Linked DNA regions of Elephas maximus indicus. The protein of the gene in region 1 interacts with the protein of each later gene in a pairwise test. Links are inferred from orthologs where the notes say so. Each region holds a gene or a part of one and is shown in the gene's direction. Other genes may lie near its edges. The genes, in order: myomegalin and CCDC146.

What was found.
Region 2: the proteins of myomegalin (region 1) and CCDC146 interact in binary tests that used the Homo sapiens proteins (3 or more experiments, as listed by UniProt). The two-hybrid records come from large-scale screens. The link is inferred for Elephas maximus indicus from reciprocal best matches to the Homo sapiens genes PDE4DIP and CCDC146.

The regions. Positions count from the first base shown.
Region 1 is NC_064821.1:159,486,453-159,498,639, forward strand, and holds the start of myomegalin, read left to right. Parts: upstream 1-6,444; 5' UTR 6,445-6,593; coding exon 6,594-6,829; intron 6,830-12,187. UniProt on the Homo sapiens protein: Functions as an anchor sequestering components of the cAMP-dependent pathway to Golgi and/or centrosomes.
Region 2 is NC_064826.1:46,802,568-46,814,672, forward strand, and holds the start of CCDC146 (coiled-coil domain-containing protein 146), read left to right. Parts: upstream 1-7,020; 5' UTR 7,021-7,139; intron 7,140-12,105. Other genes in the region: protein FAM185A, read right to left, coding at 6,031-6,481. UniProt on the Homo sapiens protein: Essential for sperm flagellum biogenesis and male fertility.

The DNA.
Region 1 (12,187 bases):
GTAGGACAATATTTCAGGGTTGAATCATTGCTGCCTTTCAATGGGATAGGTGAAATTGGATTTATTTTTGGAATTCTGAATTGTCATTTTAAATATCTTTAACATATTTTTCTTCTATAAGATTAAGAAGGTTCAATTAGATGAACTTTAAGATTTATTGGCACTGTGTATTTTTTTAATGTAAAACGTACTTCCACTCTTTACCAGTGGTTCTCAAACTTCAGCAAACAAAATGCAAAGAATAATTTTCAAAAAGCTAAAAACATGGCTCTCGTACAAATATAAAGTGAGCACATTTCAAAGATTAATTTAAGTTACTGAAGAGTTATTGGTGAAGGAACCAGCAGGATAGTAAAGCTGAGTCAAGTGGAGAAAAGAATGCTGGAATAAGATCTTGAAGTTATAACAAAATGGTCAATTGTCGATAGGTGCTGTCAAGTCAGTTCCAACTCATAACAACCCTATGTACAACGGAACAAAACACTGCCTGGTCCTGTGTCATCCTCACAATCATTGCTACGTTTGAGCCCATTGTTGCAGCCACTGTGTTAATTCATCTTGTTGAGGGTCTTCCTCTTTTTTACTGAACCACCACTTTACCAAGCATGATGTCCTCCTCCATGGAGTCTTTCCTCCTAATGTCCAAAGTACGTGAGATGTAAGTCTTACCACCTAGCTTCTAAGGAGCATTCTGGCTGTGCTTCTTCCAATACAGATACGTTCATTCTTCTGGCAGTCCATGGTATATTCAGTATTCTTCACCAGCACCATAATTCAAATGCATCGACTCTTCTTCAGCCTTCCTTACTCATTGTCCACCTTTCACATTCATATGAGGCAATTGAAAATACTTGAAAATCCTTGACAATTTCAATCTTTTCTCGGTTTATCATGACGTTGCTGCTTATTGGTCCAGTTGTGAGGATTTTTGTTTTCTTTCTGTTGAGGTGTAGTTCATACTGAAGGCTGTAGTCTTTGATCTTCATCAGTAAGTGCTTGAAGTCCTCTTCACTTTCAGCAAGCAAAGTTGTGTCATCTGTGTATTACAAGTTATTAAAAATAAGTTTTCCTCCAATCCTGATGCTGCGTTCTTCTTCATATAGTCCAGCTCAGCATACAGATTAAATAAGTATGTGAAAGGATACAACCCTAACACACACGTTTCCTGATTTTAAAACCTGCAGTACCCCCTTATCTATTCCAATGACCACCTCTTGGCCCATGTACAGGTTCCACATGAGCACAGTTAAGTGTTTTGGAATTCCCATCCTTCGCAGTGTTATCCATAATTTGTTATGATCCACACAGCTGAATGACTTTGCACAGTCAGTAAAACACAGTTAAACATCTTTCTGGTATTCTCTGCTTTCAGCCAAGATCCATCTGACATCAGCAATGATACCCCTCATTCCACGCCCTTTTCTGAATCCATCTTGAATTTCTGGCAATTCCTTTTTGATGTACTGCTACAACCATTTGTGAATTATCTTCAGTAAAATTTTACTTGCGTGTGATATTAATGATATTGTTTGATAATATCTACATTCTGTTGAATCATCTTTCTTTGGAGTGGGCACAAATATGGATCTCTTTCTGTTGGTTGGCCAGGTAAGTGTCTCCCAAATTTCTTGGCATAGATGAGAAAACACTTCCAGTATTGCATCTGTTTGTTAAAACATCTTGATAGGTATTCTGTCAGTTCCTGGAGCCTTGTTTTTCACCGGTGCCTTCAGTGCAGCTTGAGCTTCTTCCTTCAGTACCACTGGTTCTTGATCATATGCTATCTCTTGAAATGATTGGATGTCGGCCAATTCTTTTGATATAGTGACTGCATTCCTTCCCTCTTCTTTTGATGCTTTCTGCATCATTCAATGTTTTTGCCCATGGAATCCTTCAATATTGCAACTTGAGGCTTGAATTCTTTCAGCTTGAAAAATGCTGAGAGTGTTCTTTCCTTTTGGTTTTCTAACTTCAGTTCTTTGCACATTTCATTATAATACTATGCTTTGTCTTCTTCAGCTGCTTTTGAAATCTTCTGTTCAGCGCTTTTGCGTCATCATTTCTTCCATTATCTTTAGCTACTGACAACCAAGAGCAACTTTCAGAGTCTCTTCTGACATCCATTTTAGCCTTTTCTTTGTTTCCTATCTTTTTAATGACCTCTTGCTTTCTTCATGTATGATGTCCTTGATGTCATTCCACAACTCATCTGATCTTCAGTTGTTCGTGTTTAATGTGTCAAATCTATTCTTGAGATGGTCTCTAAATTCAGGTGGGATACATTTAAGGTTATATTTTGACTCTTCTAGACCTGTTTTAGTTTTCTTCGGCTTCAGCTTGAACTTGCATATGAGCAATTGATGGCCTGTTCTGCAGTCAACCCCTGGTCTTGTTCTGACTGATGATACTGAGCTTCTCAATCATCTCTTTCCACAGATATAGTTGATTTGATTCCTGTGTATTCTATCTGGTGAAGTCCACGTGTATAGCTGCCATTTATATTGTTGAGAAAAGGTATTTCCAATGAACAGGTCATTGGTCTTGTAAAATTCTATCATGAGATCTCCCATGTTGTTTCTATCATCATGGCCATATTTTTTAACTCCTTGTCCTTCTTTCCAACTTTTGCTTTCCTATCAGCAGTAATTATCAATGCATCTCAATCGCATGTTTGATCAATTTCAGACTGCAGAAGTTGGTAAAAGTCTTCAATTTCTTTATCTTTGACGTTGGTGGTTGGTGCACTAATTTGAATAATAGTCATATTAACTGGTCTTCTTTGTAGGCATTGGATACTATCCTATCACTGACAGCATTGTACTTCAGGATGGATCTTGAAATGTTCTTTTTGACAACGAATGCAATACTGTTCCTCTTTAATTTGTCATTCCTGACATAGTAGACCATATGGTTGTCTGATTCAAAATGGCTGATTCCAGTCCATTTCAGCTCTCTAATGCCTCGTATATCTATCTTCAAGTGTTTCATTACATTTTTGACAACTTACAACTTTTCTGGATTCATACATTCCACATTCTGATTAGTAATGGATGTTTGCAGCTGTTTCTTCTCATAGCACATCAGCAAATAAAGGTCCTGAAAGGTTGACTCTACTTTGAGGAGGCAGCTCTTCCCCAGTCATATTTTGAGTGCTTTCCAAACTGAGGGGCTCATCTTTTGGCACTATACAAACTGTGGGACTCATCTTCCAGTACTGTTAGACAGTGGTCCACTGATGTTCATAAAGTTTTCACTGGCCAAGTTTTTAAGAAGTAGACTGTCAAGTCCTTCTTCCTAGTGTTTCTTAGTCTGGAAGCTCTGCAGAAACCTGTCCACCATGAGTGACCCTGCTGGTGTTTTCAATACCAGTGGCATAACTTCCAACATCACAGCAACATGGAAGTGACCACTGAATGACAAACTGACAGACAACTGGTGGGTCAATGTCTTACTGGGCAGTAAAGCTATAACCTTTGATGTTATGCTTTTTTTTTTTTTATGCAGACAGAAATGACTTGCATCTTTCCTGAATAAAAATGATTTGCAATTTACTAATCTTCTACAAATATCTAAATTCAATGAGTCTGGATTCTATTCAATAGCAAATAGTAAGTCAGGTGAAACTATGGCCCCAAATAGGCAGATGAACAGGATTATTAGCACTCTAGTATGATCTTGAATGGACGCTTAATGATCCTTTTGACTTATCTTAAAACTTTAGATACTTTTTCTTGAGTATGAGGATTATCACACTCTCAGAGATTCTGATTCAGTACTTCTGTGGTGGGATGCAGGAATCTCCATTTTAAACAAACATCCTAGGTGATTCTGACACGAATAGCCTATGGATCCTTCTTTAAGAGAGATTGAAGGTGGTAGCCAGGACTTTATTTAGGATTAGTGGTTTTCTTCTAGTTCAGAGACTTTTTTAATGCCAAGAAATTGAAAGATTGATGCGTTAACTTACTGAGAAAAAGCTAACAGTCTCCATTTACTTCATTAGGGTGCTGTGCGGCCCTTTTGAAGCTTGTATCCCATATTTAGTGTAAGTCTAAGCTTGAAGGAAAAATGGCCAAAAATCCAACTGTGAAAGTACAAGTTCAGTACTTAGTTCATTTATTAATAAGTATCAGTGCTTAATCATGCCTGCCATGAAGCAAGTGTTCAATAAATGTTACTAATCACACTAAACAAAACACCCTTCATCATCAATTCATTAAGGCCACCAATAAAGCCATAACCTCACAGAATTTATTGAGCCTTTATTTTATTCCAGGCGTGCTATCAGGTAAATTTTTTTAATGTTTATTTACTTTTTAAACATTTATCAACACTTATTGTGTGCCAAGTGCTTTGTAAGATGTTGGTTATACTGAGTGAAAAAAGACCTAATCTTTGTCTTTAAGAAGTTAATAGTCTAGTGGAAAAGATAAATAAGTGAATCTACAACAATGGTGTGTTAAATGGCAGAGATGTGCTTTGGGTGCTGCTATAGAGGCATAGAGATGGAGCACCTACATAAGGTTAAGGGATCAGGAAAGGCTTTCCTAAGAAGGTAACACATAAATTGCTTTTTAAAGGGTAAGTAGGAGTTAAATAGGTCTCTGGGTGGCACAGAAGGTTTGTGCTTGACTATTAACCTGAAGACTGGTCATTTGAACCCACCCATCATCTGTGGAAGAAAGGCCAGGTGATTTGCTTCAATAAGGATTACAGCCAAGAAAACCCTATGTAGCTGTTCTACTCTGTAAAACACATGGGATCACCATGAAATTTAATTGACTAAACAGATCTGCGTATTAGCTCAGATAGTAGAGTGCTCGCTTAGCATGCAAGAGTTGGCGGGATTGATACCTGCATTGTCTAGTTAGAAGCCCTGGTGGCATAGTGGTTAAGAGCTACAGCTGCTAACCAAAAAAAAAAAGGTCAGCAGTTCGAATCCACCGGGTGCTCCTTGGAAACCCTATGGAGCAGTTTTACTCTGTCCTTTAGGGTTACTATGAGTCAGAATCCACTCAATGGCAATGATTTTTTTTTTTTTTTAACACCAATGGGTTGTTTTCTTTTTCTTTTTTTGGGTTTTAGGAGTTAACTAGATAAAGAAGGTGGAGACAGGTATTCCAAGCAGAGTAAACAGGAAATGTAAGGCAAGGAGGTATGGAAGAGCCTGATTTAGACCCAGAGAATTAGATGTAGTTTACTGTGGTTAGAATGAAGGTAGTGGAGGTACAGGATGGAAGAAAGAGATCAGTGGAAGAGGAGGCCAGAAAAGATGGCAGAAGCCATTCAAGACAATCCTTGAATACTAAACTAAGTGGTAGAACTTTATCACAAAATCTCCAAGGAGCCATTGAATGGTTTTAAGTAGGTGAGTGTTTCATGAAGAGGCCTCTGGAAGCAGTGGGAAGAAGGGTTTGGAGGTGGGCCTTAAGAGAGGCAGTTGGAATCACGATGGGAGCGAACACTTAAAGATACAGATATAGTAAAGAAATAGAAATAACAACTGGATGTGGTGGATGAGTGAAAAAGATAAAAGTCTCTGATCACTACCAGGTTTGAGGTTTGGGCAGCTGGATGGATGGGAGTGCTGGGGTTAAAAAACAGAGGACGGAGTGACAGGTTAGAGTGGAAGGATGGGTTCAGCTTGGCTGTCACTGAGTCATTCAACAGTAATGGCTATTGCCTGTGAACCTTGGGATGCGTGGTATCCAGCTGCCCTGTGGATTCTATGTAGGCCCTGTGCTACACAGAATAATGTAGTAGAGTCATTCTGTTTTGCTGTACTCTCGCTGGTCTCTGTTCCTAGAGGACATATGGAATAGGAGAAAAGGGTTTAGCAGAGGATTTATTTGACCTATGACCCCTTTCTTTTTTTCCCAGATGATAACAGTCCGTTGACTTGATGGTGGATACCAAGACATATTCTTTACTATGATTTCTTCATGAAAAATGGCATCACAAAGTCTCAGCTGAAAGGAAAACTGGGGTTGTTTAGCAGAGAGTTATTGACAATTACTAAAGGGAAAATGAAAGGAAATGGAGACTTAAAAAGAGGGAGAAAGGGAAGAAAGAAGGGGAAAGAGGCTAGCCAACAACCTGGAGAAGTGATGAATTTGAGGAGAGATTAACAGAGAGAAAAAAGCGGATAAAAGATAAGAGGATAACAGATTTGGGCAAGGAGGAAGACAAAAGCCAGGAAAATATGTAGAGAGGGGGTGAGAAAAGAAGGAACTCATCTGAGGTTGGAAATTGAGGAAGGTGGCATTGGAGCATATAGAAAAAAAAAGAGTGGGGTCTGGGAATGAAGGGATCTCCCGGTTGAGGTGGTGGGTGGAGAGAGAATGGGGAGGTAACAGAGGGTGAAGGGGCAGCGGCGGGTGTTTGCGGGAGCCGGACCAAAGCAATCTGGGCGGAGCAGGTGGCAGAAGCAGCGGTGAAAGGGCAGGATCCGGCCAGGTCTCCGCCTCAACAGTGGCAACTGGAGGGGCTGCTCATCCCCGGCCAGAGGGATGCGCCCTGGCAGCCCAGGAAAGCCATAAGAAAACGAAGCAGGAACGGAAAACAGGATTGGAGAGGCCAGGAGAGAAAAATTCATGAAGAGGGCCGACAGCGGGTCCAGCTGCCGCCGCCGATGTGACTGCAACGGTAGCTGCTGCAGCGTATCCCGCCGGGCGCAACACGCGCCTTACTGGGCCGGGGACGCCGGGCGAGCTCCCCCGTCCCGGCGGCATTTCCCTGGCCCAGAACGGCGGCGCTCCGAGCTGTCCTGGAGCTGGGCGTTGGCGGCCGAGGAGGAAGAAGCAGCCGCGGCGGCCGCACCCTGGATGAGGTGAGGGCTCCGCCAGCTTCTGGCGCTTGGAGACCAGGAGGATGCGAATCGCACCGGGCTGTTGGTACGCCATGCTGTGGGTAGGCTGAGGCTGCGGGCCGTGGACCCGGGTTCCTGGAAAGGGTTGTTGCAGAGTGACAGCTGCCTGGCGAAGGTTGGAGGGCAGGAGAGGTGATGGGGCCTGTGATGGGCACCAGAGGGGGAGAGGTGATGCGGTGTTGCCTAGAAATAAAGCGTGGGGCTGGACTGTTGGGCCTAAAGCTCAGGAAGCCTGGTCTCTATACCAAGGGCTTCCCTTGATATGTAGACAAGGCTTTGTAGCTGGAGGTGAGGTTGAAGGCTGTGCCTGTTGGGTCGAGCCAAAGGAGAGGAGAGATGAACATGATTCAGGAGGACATTCCAGGATGGAAGCCTTAAAAAGAGCCTTAGGGGCGGGAAAAGAAGATAAAGGATCAGGAAATGTCATGGGTACACAACTGAAAGAGTCCTCAGTGCCTTCTCTTGCACCGCCTTCTGTTTTGGATATTCATCTTAGATACAGACAGCTGGGTGGGGGTTGGTGATGGCTTTTTCTTCCTTGACCACCTCCTTTAGCCTGCAGGGCTGGAGCCCTGCCTGTTGGCTGGATCCCAGGTCCTGCAGGACAAGCTCCATTCTAAACCGGGTCACTTCCTCTGCTCTTAGAAGAGGGAACAGATTAGGGACAAATTTTCTTCATGTAGCAGCAGGATGAAAATCTGTCTGACATACAATTTTCTAGAGAAGAGAGTGTGCCTTTTTCTCAATAAGCATTTCCCTGGCGTAGCATTTTTAGCTTTCTCTTTCATGGGAAGTCAGTACAGTACTCATATAAACTACAAGGCAACAGTGGTTTCTGTCTCCAAGCTGCAATTAACTCGCTGGGATTTTAGAAAAGTTATTTAATTTCTCTAGGCCTCAGTTTCCTATGCATAAAATTGGGATTTGGGTTAAAAGAGTATCACAGAACTAAATAGTCTCTGGTTCTGTATTCTGTTTTCAGGACACTTTTATTTGTGAATGATGAAACTCTATTCACAGACACAAAGAAGTTGAAGGAATCCCTTGTCCTTAGCCCCTGTGCCAAAGGCAGGCTGCGGTGCAGGGAGCGGGTCACTGGGGAAAAGGAGGGAGGGGAGTGAAGGTGGGGATGGGGGGAAGTTGGGGATAAGGGGAAGGATGGAGTTCACAGGTGGCTTATGCAGACCTGGATGTGGCCTGTGTGTTGCAGTTTAGAAATTCACTCCATGGGGTTTTCAATGGCTGTAATCTTAAAAAAATAGATGACCAGGCCTTTCTTCAGTGGTACGGCTGGATGGATTCAAACCACCAACCTTTCAGTTATTAGTTGAGCACAAACTGTTTGCACCGCCCAGGGACCGTACACACTGACAATATGAACCAGTTGGTTAATGGCATCTGGACGTGGTGCTGAAAGGCCGAGGAGCAGGGAGGGCTTCACATAGGACATGAATCTTGGCTGGCCTGACAAGATATGAAGCCGGGGTTGGGTGGGAAGCAAATCCTAGCAGAGGAGCACTAGCAGGTGTATGGCCCTGGGAAAATGCCTTATTGGATGAGGCCTGTTCTGTGATAGACCTTTTCCAATGCTGACCCTCTTTCAAGTATACAATTATTAAAAATGAGGAATTAAGTGAGCTGTCAGATGGTGACAATCTGTCTCAATGTACTTATTTGAAGCATTGTAGATTCCAGAACACTTAATTGTGCTCATGAGGAACCTATACATAGACCAAGAGACAGTCATTTGAACAGAACAAGAGGATACTGTGAGGTTTAAAACCAGGAAAGGTGTGCCTCAGGGCTGTATCCTTTCACCATATCTATTCAGCAGACAGATGCTGAGCAAATAATCTGAGAAGCTGGACTGTATGAAGAAGAACTTGGCATCAGGATTGGAGGAAGACTTATTAACAACCTGTGATATACAGATGATACAACCTTGCTTGCTGAAAGGGCAGAGGACTTGAAGCACTTACTGATGAAGATCAAAGACCACAGCCTTCAGTGTGGATTATACCACAATGTAAAGAAACAATCCTTACAACTGGATCAATAAGCAACATCATAATAAGCAGAGAAGAGATTGAAGTTGTCAAGAATTTCATTTTACTTGGATCCACAGTTAATGCCCATGGAAGCAGCAGTCAAGAAATCAAACAATGTATTGCACTGGGCAAATCTGCTGCAAAAGATCCCTTTAAAGTGTTAAAAATCAAAGATAGCACTTTGAGGACTAAGGTACACCTGACCCAAGCCATAGTATTTTCAGTCACCTCATATGCATGTGGAAGCTGGACAATGAATAAGGAAGATGAAAAAAGAAACGATGTGTTTGAATTATGGTGTTGGCAAAGAATACTGAATATACCTTGGACTGCCAGAGAACACACAAATCTGTCTTGGAAGAAGTACAGCCAGAGTGCTCCTTAGAAGTGAGAATGGCAAGACTTCATCTCATGTGCTGTGGACATGTTATCAGGAGGGACCAGTCCCTGGAGAATGACATCATGCTTGGTAAAGTAGAAGGTCAGTGAAAAAGAGGAATACCCTCAATGAGATGGATTGACACAGTGGCTGCAACAATGGGCTCAAACATAGCAATGATTGTGAGGATGGCACAGGTCCGGGCAGTGTTTCCTTCTGTTATACATACGGTTGCTATGAGTTGGAACTGACTGGATGACACCTAACAATAACAACAGAGTGTACATTCTCCTTGGATAGCCAGGAACCAGCAGACAGCTCTCAGGGGAAAGTGATTTTAGAGACAGTTCAGTAAGTTCCTAACATCAAACTTCAACTATTACATTCCTCTAGCCATTTCTTTCTCTTTCTCACTCTTTTTTGTTATTATTATATTTTTTATAGCTTTTGAGGGATAATTGGCATATAATAAACTGAATAAATTTAAAGTGTACAATTTGATAAGTTTGACATATGTATATACCTATGAAATCACCACTATGATCAAGATGATGAACATATATATCATCCCCAAAACTTTTCATCTGCCTCTTTACAATCTCTCCCTCCTATCTCTTCCTGCCGTGCTAATATACAGGTAACCACTGATCTACTTTCTGTCACAATACATTAGTTTGCACTTCCTAGACTTTTATGTAAATAGAATCATACCGTATGTATTCCTTTTTTATGTGGCTTCCTTCAGGGTAATTATTTTGAAAGTTGTCCTTATTGTTGTGTGTATCGATAGTTCATTTTCTTTTGGTGCTGAGCAGTATTGCAGTGTATGGATATACCACAATTAGTTGTTGAGTTGATTCCAGTTTTTGGGCATTACAAATAAAGCTGCTGTTAACATTTATGTACAAGTCTTTGTGGGTACATACAGTTTCTTTCTCTTGGGTAAATTTCTAGAGGTAGAACGGAAGGTATATGTGTAACTTTTTAAGAAACTGCCAAACTTTTTTCCAAAGGGATTGTACCTTTTACATTCCCACTTGCAATGTATGAGAATGCCCATTTGTCCATACCCTTGTCAGCATTTTTACTTTCTTACCTTTTTTTATTATCGCCATTCAAAAATAGAAAAAAAAAAATCAATTGCTGTTGAGTTGATTCTGACTCATAGTGACCCTATAGGACAGAGTAGAACTGCCCCATAGGGCTTCCAAGGAGCGGCTCTGGATTTGAACTGCTGAACTTTTGGTTAGCAGCGGAATACTTAACTACTGTGCCACCAGGGCCCCAAAGCCATTGTAGTGGGCGTGAAATGATATTATGGTTTTGATTTGCTTTTTCCAAATGACTAATGATGTTGAGCTTCCATGTGCTTAGTTGTCAATAAGTCTCCATAAATTTAAAAGGATTCAAACCATAGAAAGTGTGTTCTCTGACCACAATGGAATTAAAACAGAAAGAACAGAAATCAGTATTCTGATTTCAATACCGAAATCAATAACAGAAAGAATAAAATCCTCGAATATCTGGAAACTCAACACACACTCTTAAATGACCCATGGAACAAAGAAGAACCAAAAGAGCGATAACCCACTGCCATCAAGTTGATTCCAACTCATAGTAACCCCATAGGGCTTGGTCAAGGATCTATTAATGGAAACTTAGATTATTGATTTAAGGCTTTTCTTTTTCCTCTAATATAGGTGTTTTAATGCTATAAATTTTATTCTGAGTACTTCTTTAGTTGTATCCCACACGTTTTGATATCTTGCGAATCCATTTTTATTTAGTTTAAAATGCTTTCCTATTGCTGTTTTGGAGCCATGGTAGCACAGTGCTTAAAGCGATTGACTGAGAACCAAAAGGATGGCGGTTCGAAACCACCAGCAGCTTCGAGGGAGAAAGATGTGGCAGTTGGCTTCCATAGAGATTTACAGCCTTGGAAATCCTATGGGATCACTGTGACTTGAAATTGACTTGACAGCAGTGGGTTATGGCTGTTTTGGTTCTTCTTTGTTCCATGGGTCATTTAGGACTATGTGTTGAGTTTTCAGATATTTGAGGATTTTATTCTTTCTGTTATTGATTTCTGTACTGAAATCAGAATACTGATTTCTGTTCTTTCTGTTTTAATTCCATTGTGGTCAGAGGACACACTTTGTGTAATCTGAATCCTTTTAAATTTATTGACACTTACTCTATGACCCAGATTTTGGTCCTGCTCTTGTTGGGGGGGGTGTGTTTTATAAAGATCAGTTAGGTCAAGTTGGCTCATCATGTAGTTGAAGTCTTCTATATCCCTACTAATTTTATATCTAGTTGTTTTATCAATTCTTGACAGAGGGTAGTGAAATCTATGAATATCAATTTTTAATTCATTATTTCTTCTTGCAGTTTTCTTCATGTTTCTTGTGCTTCATGTTATTTGAGCTTATTGGATGTTTATAGTTTTTATCACAGTTGGACAATTTTGAACTATTATTTCTTCAGATATTGTTGTTGTCATTACCCCTTTTATCTCCTTTTCTTTGAGGACTCCGATTACACAAGTATTTAGATTACTTGAATTTGTCCCACAGCTCACTGGTTCATTTATTTTCAGTTTTTTTTTCTTTCTTTGTTTTATTTTGGATCATTCCTATTGCCATGTCTTCAGGTTCACTAATCTTTTCTTCTTCAGCATCTAAAAGCTGTTAATCCCATTCAGTATATATATATTTTTTTATCTCAGATATTGTATTTTTTACCTCTAAAAGTTTAATATATATGTTCTTTATAACTTCTGTGTCATGTAAAGACGATAAATCTTTCTACTACCTTCTTGAAAATATAGAATGTTATAATAACTTTTAATTCCAGCATTTGTATCAGTTCTGGATATGTTTGTAGTGATTG
Region 2 (12,105 bases), on another chromosome or scaffold:
GGGAGGCAGGGCCAAGATAACTGACTAGGTAGAAGCTACCGTGGATCCCTCTTGCAACAAAGACTTGGAAAAACAAGTGAATTGATCACATACATGACAATCTACAAACCCTGACCATCAAACACAGAACTAAAGAGTTGACCTGAGTGACAGGGAAGGGAAAAGCCACGCCCTGAAGCAGCGACCGCTTCTGGAACTGGCGACCCGCGCCACATCCTTGAGCCCTCGCAGTTCCCTGGTGCCAGAGAGGTGGAGCTGATTGCGGCTTACTGAGATGGGGCAAGTGGGACACAGCCCTAACCCCTAACCCCCTGGAGTAACCTCGGAAGAGACTTAGCCGGCACAAGCAGGCTGCACACTGACGCGGCTGACAAGAGAACAAGCAACCATGGAGAAGCAGCGACTGTTTTCAGAGCCTGAAGCCAGCATCCCTGTCAGAAAACCTTGGCGCTGGCTTTGGACTAAGCGCAGAGGAGCTGAGTACGGCTTCCTGAGACAGCGCAAGTGTGGGACCCCGGCCTGACCCTCAGGGGCAACCCTGACCCAGCCAGCACACACAGGCTATGCTTCTCTGGAATCTCAGATAAAACAGTCATCACCAAGCAAGATAAGTAACTTTGTCTATACTGCCCGCACTACTCTCTCCTATCTATCTGATCCCTCCCCTCCCTGCCCCAGGTGGTTTCATTAACATTGGAATTTCCTGGGCCAGGGAGTGAAGTGCTTGCGGGGGGGGGGGGGGGGGGGTGGGGGGGGGTGGGGGGGGGGCGGTTTCCTAACCCATTCTCCTGGCCTGAGAGAAGCAGCAACTAACAACCCAGGGGGAAAAAAAACCTTCCCTAACTTCCCTAAACTGGAATAAAGATACAGAACCAGCTCCAGCCAAGCATATGAGATACACAGTCTTTGGCTTACATCCCTACAGGGAACAAGGTGGCTATTATAATGCAAAGGTAATTCTGATAGAGATCTGACTGTAATTGTTTTAGCAGGTCTGATACCTCTCTACCTATTAAACAGAGCCCTCACTGATCCAGAGCAGGGAACTGAGAGCTGAAGCTCCACCCAAACCACCTAGCCACCTGCTAAAGGGGTCTGAGGATAGTGATGCCTACCAGTCTTTAGAGGTACAAGCATTGGGTGCCTAAGGTACAGCTGCAGAGTCCACCCATCAAAGTGCTCTAGGAATAGAGACACACCTACCTCACTGGCACGTGGGGGAAGGCTGTCAGCACCCTGCCCGCCCTGGAGTGTGACCCCCTGCCGCTACTAGGATCTGGTGCACACAACTATCACCACTACTCCTCTAAGTTAATAGGTGACAGTCTACACCACACACTTGGTGACCCAAAATCAGAACACCTAAGCTGATTCTATTGAAGAATAGTGAATGGACTCTTAGGCTTATATACCCAGTAACAGCTCAAACCAGCTGGTAATAGGACATAAGTGATTCGACCGCTACAACAATCAAGACAGCACAATCTAGTACCCCATCTGGGTATACTGAAACAAAACAAAACAAGAAGATAAGAGTCAGTGGGCAAATATAAATCATTACAATATCTTATAGATGGCTGAGAGACAGCAGTCGATATCGAACCACATAAAGAAGCAGACCATGATTGCTTCTACAAATCCCCAAATTAAAGAATCAAAATCTTTCCTAAATGAAGATACAATCCTGGAATTGCCAAATGTAGAATATAAAAAACTAATATACAGAATGCTTCAAGACATCAGGGATGACCTCAGAAATGAAATAAGGCAATCTACAGAAAAAGCCAAGGAACACACTGATAAAGCAGTTGAAGAACTCAAAAAGATTATTCAAGAACATAGTGGAAAAATTAATAAGTTGCAAGAAAAAATCAGGGAAAAGAAATCAAATACTTGGAAACTGAACGATACCCTCGTCAAAAAAGACTGGGTTATAGAAGACATTAAGGAGGGAATAAAGAAATTCATACAATACAATTAGAATGAAAACACTTCCTATCAAAACCTTTGGGACACAGGAAAAGCAGTGCTCAGAGGTCAATTTATATCAATAAATGCACACATACATAAAGAAGAAAACAGGCAAAGTCACAGAACTGTCTACAACTTGAGGAAATAGAAAGCAAGCAACAAAAGAATCCGTCAGGCACCAGAAGAAAACAAATAATAAAAATTAGAGCAGAATTAAATGAATTAGAGAACAGAAAAACAATTGAAAGACTTAACAAAGCCAAAAGCTGGTTCTTGGAAAAAATCAACAAAATTGATAAACCATTGGCCAGACTGACCAAAGAAATACAGAAAAGGAAACAAATAACCCGAATAAGAAAAGAGATGGGCCATACCACAACAGACACAACTGAAATTAAAAGAATCATATCAGATTATTACAAAAAATTGTACTCTAACAAATTTGAAAACCTAGAAGAAATGGATTAATTCCTAGAAACACACTACCTACCTAAACTAACACAATCAGGAGTAGAACAACTAAATAGACCTATAACAAAAGAAGAGATTGAAAAGGTAATCAAAAAACTCCCAACAAAAAAAAGCCCTGGCCCGGACAGATTCACTGCAGAGTTCTACCAAACTTTCAGAGACGAGATAACACCACTACTACTAAAGCTATTTCAAAGCATAGAAAAGGATGGAATACTACCTAACTCATTCTATATAGCCAGCATATCCCTGATACCAAAACCAGGTAAAGACACCACAAAAAAGAAAGTTACAGACCTATATCCCTCATGAACATAGATGCAAATATCCTCAACAAAATTCTAGCCAATAGAATTCAACAACATATCAAAAAAAAATTCACGACAAACAATAGGGATTTATACCAGGTATGCAAGGTGGGTTCAATATTAGAAAAACAATTAATGTAATCCACCATATAAATAAAACAAAAGACAAAAACCACATGATCTTAATTGATTCAGAAAAGACATTTGACAAAGTCCAACACCCATTCATGATAAAAACTCTCAGCAAAACAGGAATAAAAGGAAAATTCCTCAACATAATAAAGGACATTTATACAAAGCCAACAGCCAACATCATCTTAAATGGACAGAGCTTGAAAGCATTTCCCTTGAGAACAGGAACCAGACAAGGATGCCCTTTATCACGGCTCTTATTCAACACTGTGCTGGAGGTCCTAACCAGAGCAATTAGGCTAGACAAAGAAATAAAGGGCATCCGGATTGGCAAGGAAGAAGTGAAATTATCTCTATTTGCAAATGACTTGATCTTATACACAGAAAACCCTGAGGAATCCTCAAGAAAACTACTGAAACTAATAGAAGAGTTCAGCAGGGTATGAGGATACAAGATAAATACACAAAAATCAGTTGGATTCCTCTACACCAACAAAAAGGACATCAAAGAGGAAATCACCAAATCAATACCATTCACAGTAGCCCCCAAGAAGATAAAATACTTAGGAATAAATCTTACCAAAGATGTAAAAGACCTATCCAAAGAAAACTACAAAGTACTACTGCAAGAAACTAAAAGGGACATACATAAGTGGAAAAACATACCTTGCTCATGGATAGGAAGACTTAACATAGTAAAAATGTCTATTCTACCAAAAGCCATCTATATATACAATGCACTTCTGATCCAAATTCCAACGACATTTTTTAATGTGATGGAGAAACAAATCACCAACTTCATATGGAAGGGAAAGAAGCCCCGGAGAAGTAAAGCATTACTGAAAAAGAAGAACAAAGTGGGAGGCCTCACTCTACCTGATTTTAGAACATATTATACAGCCACAGTAGTCAAAACAGCCTGGTACTGGTACACAACAGGCACATAGACCAATGGAACAGAATTGAGAACCCAGATATAAACCTATCCACATATGAGAAGCTGATATTTGACAAAGGACCAGTGTCAGTTAACTGGGGAAAAGATAGTGTTTTTAACAAATGGTGCTGGCATAACTGGATATCCATCTGCAAAAAAATAAAACAGGACCCATACCTCACACCGTGCACAAAAACTAACTCCAAATGGATGAAAGACCTAAACGTAAAGGCTAAAACAATAAAGATCATGGAAGAAAAAATAGGGACAACGTTAGGAGCCCTATTACAAGGCATAAACAGAATACAAAACATTACTAAAAATGACGAAGAGAAACCAGATAACTGCGAGCTCCTAAAAATCAAACACCCATGCTCATCAAAGGCTTCACCAAAAGAGTAAAAAGACCACCTACAGACTGGGAAAGAATGTTCAACTATGACATCTCCGAACAGCGCCTGATCTCTAAAATCTATATGATTCTGTTAAAACTCAACCACAAAAAGACAAACAACCCAATTAAAAATTGGGCAAAGGATATGAACATTCACTTCACTAAAGAAGATATTCGGGCAGCTAACACATACATGAGGAAACGCTCTTGATCATTAGCCATTAGAGAAATGCAAATTAAAAGTACGATGAGTTTCCAACTCACTCCACCAAGGCTGGCATTAATCCAAAAAACACAAAATAATAAATGTTGGAGAGGCTGTGAAGAGATTGGAACTCGTATACACGGCTGGTGGGAATGTAAAATGGTACAACCAGTTTGGAAATCGATCTGGCATTTCCTTAAAAAGCTAGAAATAGAACTACCATATGACCCAGAAATCCCACTCCTCGGAATATATCCTGGAGAACTAAGAGCCTTTACACGAACAGATATATGCACACCCATGTTTATCGCAGCACTGTTTACAATAGCAAAAAGCTGGAAGCAACCACGGTATCCATCAACAGACAAATGGATAAATTATGGTATATTCACACAATGGAATACTACGAATCGATAAAGAAAAACGATGAATCTGTGAAACATTTCATAACATGGAGAAACCTGGAAGGCATTATGCTGAGTGAAATTAGTCAGTTGCAAAAGGGCAAATATTGTATAAGACCACTATTATAACATCTTGAGAAATAGTTTAAACTGAGAAGAACACATTCTTTTGTGGTTACAAAAGGGGGAAGGGTAGAGGGTGGGAGAGGGTTATTTCCTGATTAGATAGTAGATAAGAACTACTTTAGGTGAAAGGAAGGACAACACTCAATTCAGGGGAGGTCAGCACAACTGGACTGGACCCAAAGCAAAGAAGTTTCCTGAATAAACTGAGTACTTCCAAGGTCCGCAGAGCAAGGGCGGGGGTTTGGGGACTATGGCTTCAGGGGACATCTAAGTCAATTGACAAAATAAATTCTATTAAGAAAACATTCTGCACCCCACTTTGAAGTGTGGCGTCTGGAGTCTTAAATGCTAACAAGCGGCCATCTAAGATGCATCAATTGGTCTCAACCCAAAGGAGAATGAAGAACACCCAGGTCACAAGGTAATCATGAGCCCAAGAGACAGAAAGGGCCACATGAACTAGAGACTACTTTCATCCTGAAACCAGAAGAACTAGATGGTGCCCCGCCACAACCAATGACTGCCCTGACAGGGAGCACAGCAGAGAACCCCTGAGGGAACAGGAGAACAGTGGGATGCAGACCCCAAATTCTCATAAAAAGACCAGGCTTAATGGTCTAAGACTAGAATAATTCCGGCGGTAATGGTCCCCAAACCTTCCGCTGGCCCAGGACAGGAACCATTCCTGAAGACAACTCAGGAGACATGGATTGGACTGGACAATGGGGGTTGGCGAGAGATGCTGATGAGGAGTGAGCTACTTGCATCAGGTGGACACTTGAGACTATGTTGGCATCTCCTGTCTGGAGGGGAGATGGGAGGGTAGAGGGGTTTAGAAACTGGCAAAAAGGTCAGGAAAGGAGAAACTGGAAGGAGGGAGTGGGAACGGGATGACTCATTAGTGGAAGAGTAAGTGGGGGTATGTAGTAAGGTGTATATAAGTTTATATGTGAGAGACTGACTTGATTCGTAAACTTTCACTTATAGCACAATAAATATTAAAAAAAAAAAAAGTGCACGTCAGCGTAATTTAAGGAAAGCTTCGCTACGGGTGCCTTGGGACCCAAACCGTTTTAACTTGCCGAACTTCAGGGGCGCCTCCACCTCCACCGAGGCCTGGGGGTCGATGGTCTCAGACACGATGGCCATCTCCTTTCGCTCCTTGTCGTACCTCACCTGCAGGCCTTCCAGGCCCTGCGCCCCGACCTCCACGCCGCTCACGGCCACCAGCACACGGTCAGCGTCCGGGTACGTGAGGGGGTCGAGGGGTTTCACGGTTAGGTCGCACGGGAGCCGCGCCAGGAGCCGGCCGAACGGGCTCACCAGCAGCGTCCACTCCTTCAGCGTCCGGCGCTCGGGGTCAGGGGGAGTCACCTTCGGCTCCGAGCCCGGCCCGCGCTCACACCCGCCCGAGCCGTACAGCCGAGCCTGGTAAGCCCGACACGTGCCGCGCTCAACGGCCTCGCCGATCCACACTCGGAGCTGGCAGAGCCTAAGGCCGCCGCGCCCCCAGCCTGAGCAGGGGGCGAACATGGCATGCCTCTCTCGCGCCCCCTCAGATCCCCTCAGCCACAGGAAGAGTCACTTGCAGCGGCTGACTTGGCCACTGAGCCTCCTCAAGTCAAAGGAGAGACGTTTGCGAGGGCATGCTGAAGCAAGAGCAAGCCTATCAACTCTGCTGGGAGATTTAAACCTCTGCCGCACAAGCCGCAGAGGCAAGTTGAAATTTCAAAGCTCTAAGTAATCAACCCTGACCTGGACTCCTAGTTCACCCCTTCCCCTTTCGCGAAGGCCGACGGGATAGGTAGTTCTACACGGTTACACATGCAAGGGCTCTGACCAGATCGGAAACTACAAATCGCAGGAGGCAATTCGCAGCGTAGACAGCGAACTGAGAGCACGTTTTGAACTGGGACGGAAGGCGCGCTCTCTTTGCCTCGAGCCCATTGGCCATTGGAGGGGCGAAAGAATCTAGATGGAAATCCATCTGACCAATGGAAAGCGCTGAAGGGGAAAGGTGGGCAAGTCCGTGTGCGTGTGTGTGGTCTCCTTGGATACCTAGGACGCGAGTTCTTCTTTGGAGAGGGTGGAGCTTTGAAGTGAGACCCAGGGGGCCAAAACTAAAGATAAAAATAGGAGCCTAAATAAGGAGCAGGACCAAGGGAAAGGATAAGAAACTGCGCTTTTAAAGGTGAGAACTAGAATCAAACTAGGAGTATCCTCTGTGGGTGGTTAGACTCAAGCTTTCCTAAACTAGTGCAGCGCCTCTGGGGATGGAAACTTCCTAGGCAAGAGGATAAAGAGCCAGATTGGTGTTTTGGGTGGAGGGAAGTTTCCTCTCTGGTAGCAAATTTAGGAATAGCGTTAGAGTCTTGGCACCTTCCTGAGTCTAGGTGCCCTTAGGCCAGTCATTGGACATCTCTGGCCATTAATTGTTCATTCTTAAAATGGGGACAATAATATCTTTTTTGCCTTCCCTCACAGGGTCTTTGTGAGGATCAAATGAGATAATGAATACAAACACGTTGCACAGCCTACAAAACTGCAATGTTTTATTTTAGGGATAGCACAGTCTCTTAGTTACAAAGAAAAACCTGAAAGATCAGGACTGTTTTTGGCAGCGATATTGATCTTTTTAATTACTAATGGTCCTCGGTTTGGGGGCTAAAATAAGATACAAAAAAGAGAGTCAAGGTGGTGCTGTGGGAAGAGCAGATTTTTTTTCCTGAGTCTGCCATTGATCTCTTTGTGTCACCTGGATCTGTTTCTTCAGCTTTAGAGTGAAGGATTGTACTAAATGACTCTGTAAGATCTCTTTTACGTTTTATTATTCTATGGGCAATAAGAAAGACAAAGATTTATCTCCTTTTCTTCCTGGTCTCTCCCTTTCTGTGCTCCAACCTCCTCCTGCAAATTATTCCCTTTAGCAAAGACACCCTGCAAACAATGAGATTTAATAAAATGCAAGTGCTGAAACTGAATGCCTTCAGTAATTTTAGTCTTGGCCAAGTGCAGTGCAGAATTTTTGAGAGCAATAGTGATACCGAGGCAGGCAGATAGTCTGGGCTAACAACTTCATGGGCCCAAGATGCAAGGTTGTTTGGTAGACATTACCTTTTTTTTTAAATTTAGTATTTTTTAAGTTATTTTTTTCTCCTTTATGTCTTGCTAGTCCTTCCTCCCTTCTTATTTTTCCTCCTTTAGTGAAGGCATGATGAGTGCTAGCTTTTAGATTTAGCAAGTGCCCACTGAATACTAATTTTCTCCTTGGCTTTGTGTTTCATCTGGTCATAATTTTTCAGACTGACCTTCTTCAAACTATCTTTTTTATGAAAATCTATTGACATTGAAAACAAAACTGTTAGGCACTGATGTAAACAAGTTGGGAATACACTCAAATTTTGTGTATAAGTACGAGATATTCTTAGATTTAAAATGAATCCTTAATACATAATTCTATGCTAATTTTTCCTTTTCTGAGACAAACCAAATTAATGGAATTGGAAACTGAGCCATAATTGGCTATGTAGCATAATCATTGTTTCTCTCTTCTCAAGTAAACAAAAGAAAACTAAATAAAATTGATTTAAAAATCACCTTTCTGATCATGTTGAGGTTGAAAATGGAGAAAATTATTGATATTAAGATTGATATAAGATATTAAGGTTAACGATACTTAAAGAAACAGCAGTCTAATGAATCATCTACCCAATCTTGTGCATATATCAATAATGATAAATTAAAATACTACTTTCCATCTATATAACTAAACAAATAATTTCTTTTACAAGAATCAGCACAAAGCTGGTTCCTATAAGGTGGAGGTTAAAGATGTCCCAAATATCCAACTTTTCCAAGCTTCTGTACTACTCCATCATCTCTAACATCAGCTACGCCCTTTCCCTTCAGCACTCTCCCTCCTGTCTTTAGGTTCCCTAATTGTCTACAACATCTCAGAGAACTCAGGAACCAGCCATGTAAAGCAAATGGCTCATGAGGTTGTGGAGGCAGGCAAATCCAAAATTCGTGGGCCAGGCATAGGCTTTTCCCTGGTCGCTCAATCTCTGCCCACAGACACTCATCTTTCTTGCTCCATGGGCCGTGAAGCCCACTGTGCCATCTCCTGAGGGTATCTCCTGTGGGTCTCTCCTACCGGTCTCTTCTTCCCTGGTGGTGGTGGGCTCTTCTCTTTCCTGCCTCTGGGGTGGCTCGTTTCAATCCCAGCAGGATGGTGAAACTGACCAATCCATTTAGTGGGTCACAATCACCATATCACACGATCCCACCCAATCACCTAGTGGGAGTTACAAGACCATGGCTAGAAAGGCACACAAAAAGCAATCCATTACACTGCCATAACATTATAGTTTCAAAGCATGTTCACATGCGTTATTTCACTGTATCCTCACAAAACACTGGGTTTACTAGGACAGATTTAAACATCCTCACATTAGAGATGAGGAAACGGATTTAAAAAACACTTAAGGTTAAACAACTATACTGTCTGACTCTTTTTTCTGACGCAAAAAAAGATCCTTCTATCTTCTTGACACCTTTGAAGGAAATAAATTATTCACTATATGAATGGAGAGTCATATTTAAATTTTCTCAAATACAAAAATATTTGTATTTTTACCTCTTCACTTAAAAAAAAAAAAAAAAAGCCATTCCTGAGGTTATGAACATACTACTGGTTGAAGTATAAGTTAGTACAAACTTTCCCAAGGACAATTTAGCAATAAGCATGTTGTCGTTGTTAGGTGCCCTTGAGTTGGTTACAACTCATAGCAACACTAAGTACAACAGAGTGAAACATTCCTGATCTCGCGCCATCTCACAATCTTAGTTATGCTTGAACCCATCGTTGCAACCACTTTGTCAGTCCATCTCATTGAGGGTCTTCCTCTTTTCCCTGACCCTCTACTTTATCAAGCAGGATGTTCTTCTCCAGGGGCTGGTCCCTCCTGATAATGTGTCCAAAGTATGTGAGACTTTGTCCTTGCTTCCAAGGAGCACTGTGGCTGTCCTTCTTCCAAGACAGACTTGTTTGTTCTTCTGGCAGTCCATGGTATGTTCACTATTCTGTGCCAATACCATAATTCAAAGGCATCAATTCTTCCTTATTCATTGTTCAGCTGTCCCATGCATATGCAGTGATTGAAAATATCATGGCTTGGGCCAGGTGCACCTTAGTCCTCAAAGTGATACCTTTGCTTTTTAACACTTGAAAGAGGTCTTTTGCAGCAGATTTGCCCAATAAAATACGTCATGTGATTTTCTGACTGCTGCTTCCATGGGCATTGATTAATATCCAGGTAAAATGAAAGCCTTGACAATGTCAGTCTTTTCTCCATTTATCATGACATTGCTTATTGGTCCAGTTGTAAAGATTTTTGTTTTCTTTTTGTTGAGATGTAATCCATACTGAAGGCTGTACTCTTTGATCTTTATCAGTAAGTGCTTCAAGTCCTCTTCACTTTCAGCAAGCAAGGTTCTGTCATCTGCATATCACAGGTTGTTAATGAGTCTTCCGCCAATCCTGATCCCACATTCTTCTTCATACAGTCCAGCTTCTCGAATTGTTTGCTCAGCATACAGATTGAATAAGTATGGTGAAAGGATGCAACCCCAACACATACCTTTTTTGATTTTAAACCACTTAGTATCCTCATGTTCTGTTTGAACGACTGCCTCTTGTTCTAAGTACAGGTTCCGCATAAGAACAATTAAATGTTCTGGAATTCCGATTTCTCGCTGTGTTATCCATAGTTTGTTCTGATCCACACAGCCAAATGCCTGTGCGTAATCAATAAAACATTAAGTAAATATCTTTCTGGTATTCTCCGCTATCAGCCAAGAGCCATCTGACATCAGCAGTGATTTCCCTCATTCCACATCCTCTTCTGAAACTAACTTGAATTTCTAGTAGTTCCTTGTCAATGTCCTACAACTGCTTTGAATGATCTTCAGCACAATTTTACTTGGGAGTGATATTAATGGTATTTTTGATAATTTCTACATTCTGTTGGATTACCTTTCTTTGGAATGGGCATAAATATGAATCTCTTCCAGTCGGTTGGCCAGGTAGTTGTCTTCCAAATTTCTTGACATAGACAAGTGAGCACCTCCAGCGTTGCATCCATTTGTTAAAACATCTCAATTGGCATTCAGTCAATTCCTGGAGCCTTGTTTTTTGCCAGTGTCTTCTGCGTGGCTTGGACTTCTTCCTTCAGTATCATTGGTTCTTGATCAAATGCTACTTGCTGAAGTGGATCAACATCAACCAATTCTTTTTGGTACAGTAATTCTGTATTCCTTCCATCTGCTTTTGATGCTTCCTGTGTCATTCAGTATTTTGCTGATAGAATCCTTCAAAATTGCAACTCCAGGCTTGAATTTTTCCTTCAGTTTTTTCAGCTTGAGAAATGCCAAGCATGTTCTTCCCTTTTGGTTTTCTAACTCCAGATCTTTTTGCACATTTCATTCTAATGTTTTACTTTGTCTTCTCAAGCTGCCTTTTGAAATCTTCTGTTCAGCTCTTTTACTTCATCATTTCTTGCATTCACTTTAGCTACTCGACGTTCAAAAGCAGTTTCAGAGTCCCTTCTCATCCATTTTGGTCTTTTCTTTCTTTCCTGTCTTTTTAATGACCTTTTGCTTTCTTTGTGTATGATGTCCTTGGTGCTTTCTCACAACTCATCTGGTCTTCAGTCATTAGTGTTCAGTGCATCTAATCTATTCTTGAGATGGTCTCCAAATTCAGGTGGGATATACTCAAGGCTATATTTTGGCTCTCATGGACTTGTTTTAATTTTCTTCAGCTTCAGGTTGAACTTGCATATGAACAATTGATGGTCTGTTCTGCAGTTAGGCCCTGGCCTTGTTACTGATGACATTGAGCTTTTCCATTGTCTCTTTCCACAAAGGTAGTCAGTTTGATTCCTGTGTATTCCGTCTAGCGAGGTCCACGTGTACAGTTGCCATTTATATTTTGAAAAGAGGTATTTGCAATGAAGAAGTCCTTGGTCTTGCAAAATTCTTTCATGGGATCTCTGGTATCCTTTCTGTCACCAAGGCCGTATTCCCCAACTACCAATCCTTCTTCATCATTTCCAACTTTCACATTCCAATCACCAGCAATTATCAATGCATATTGA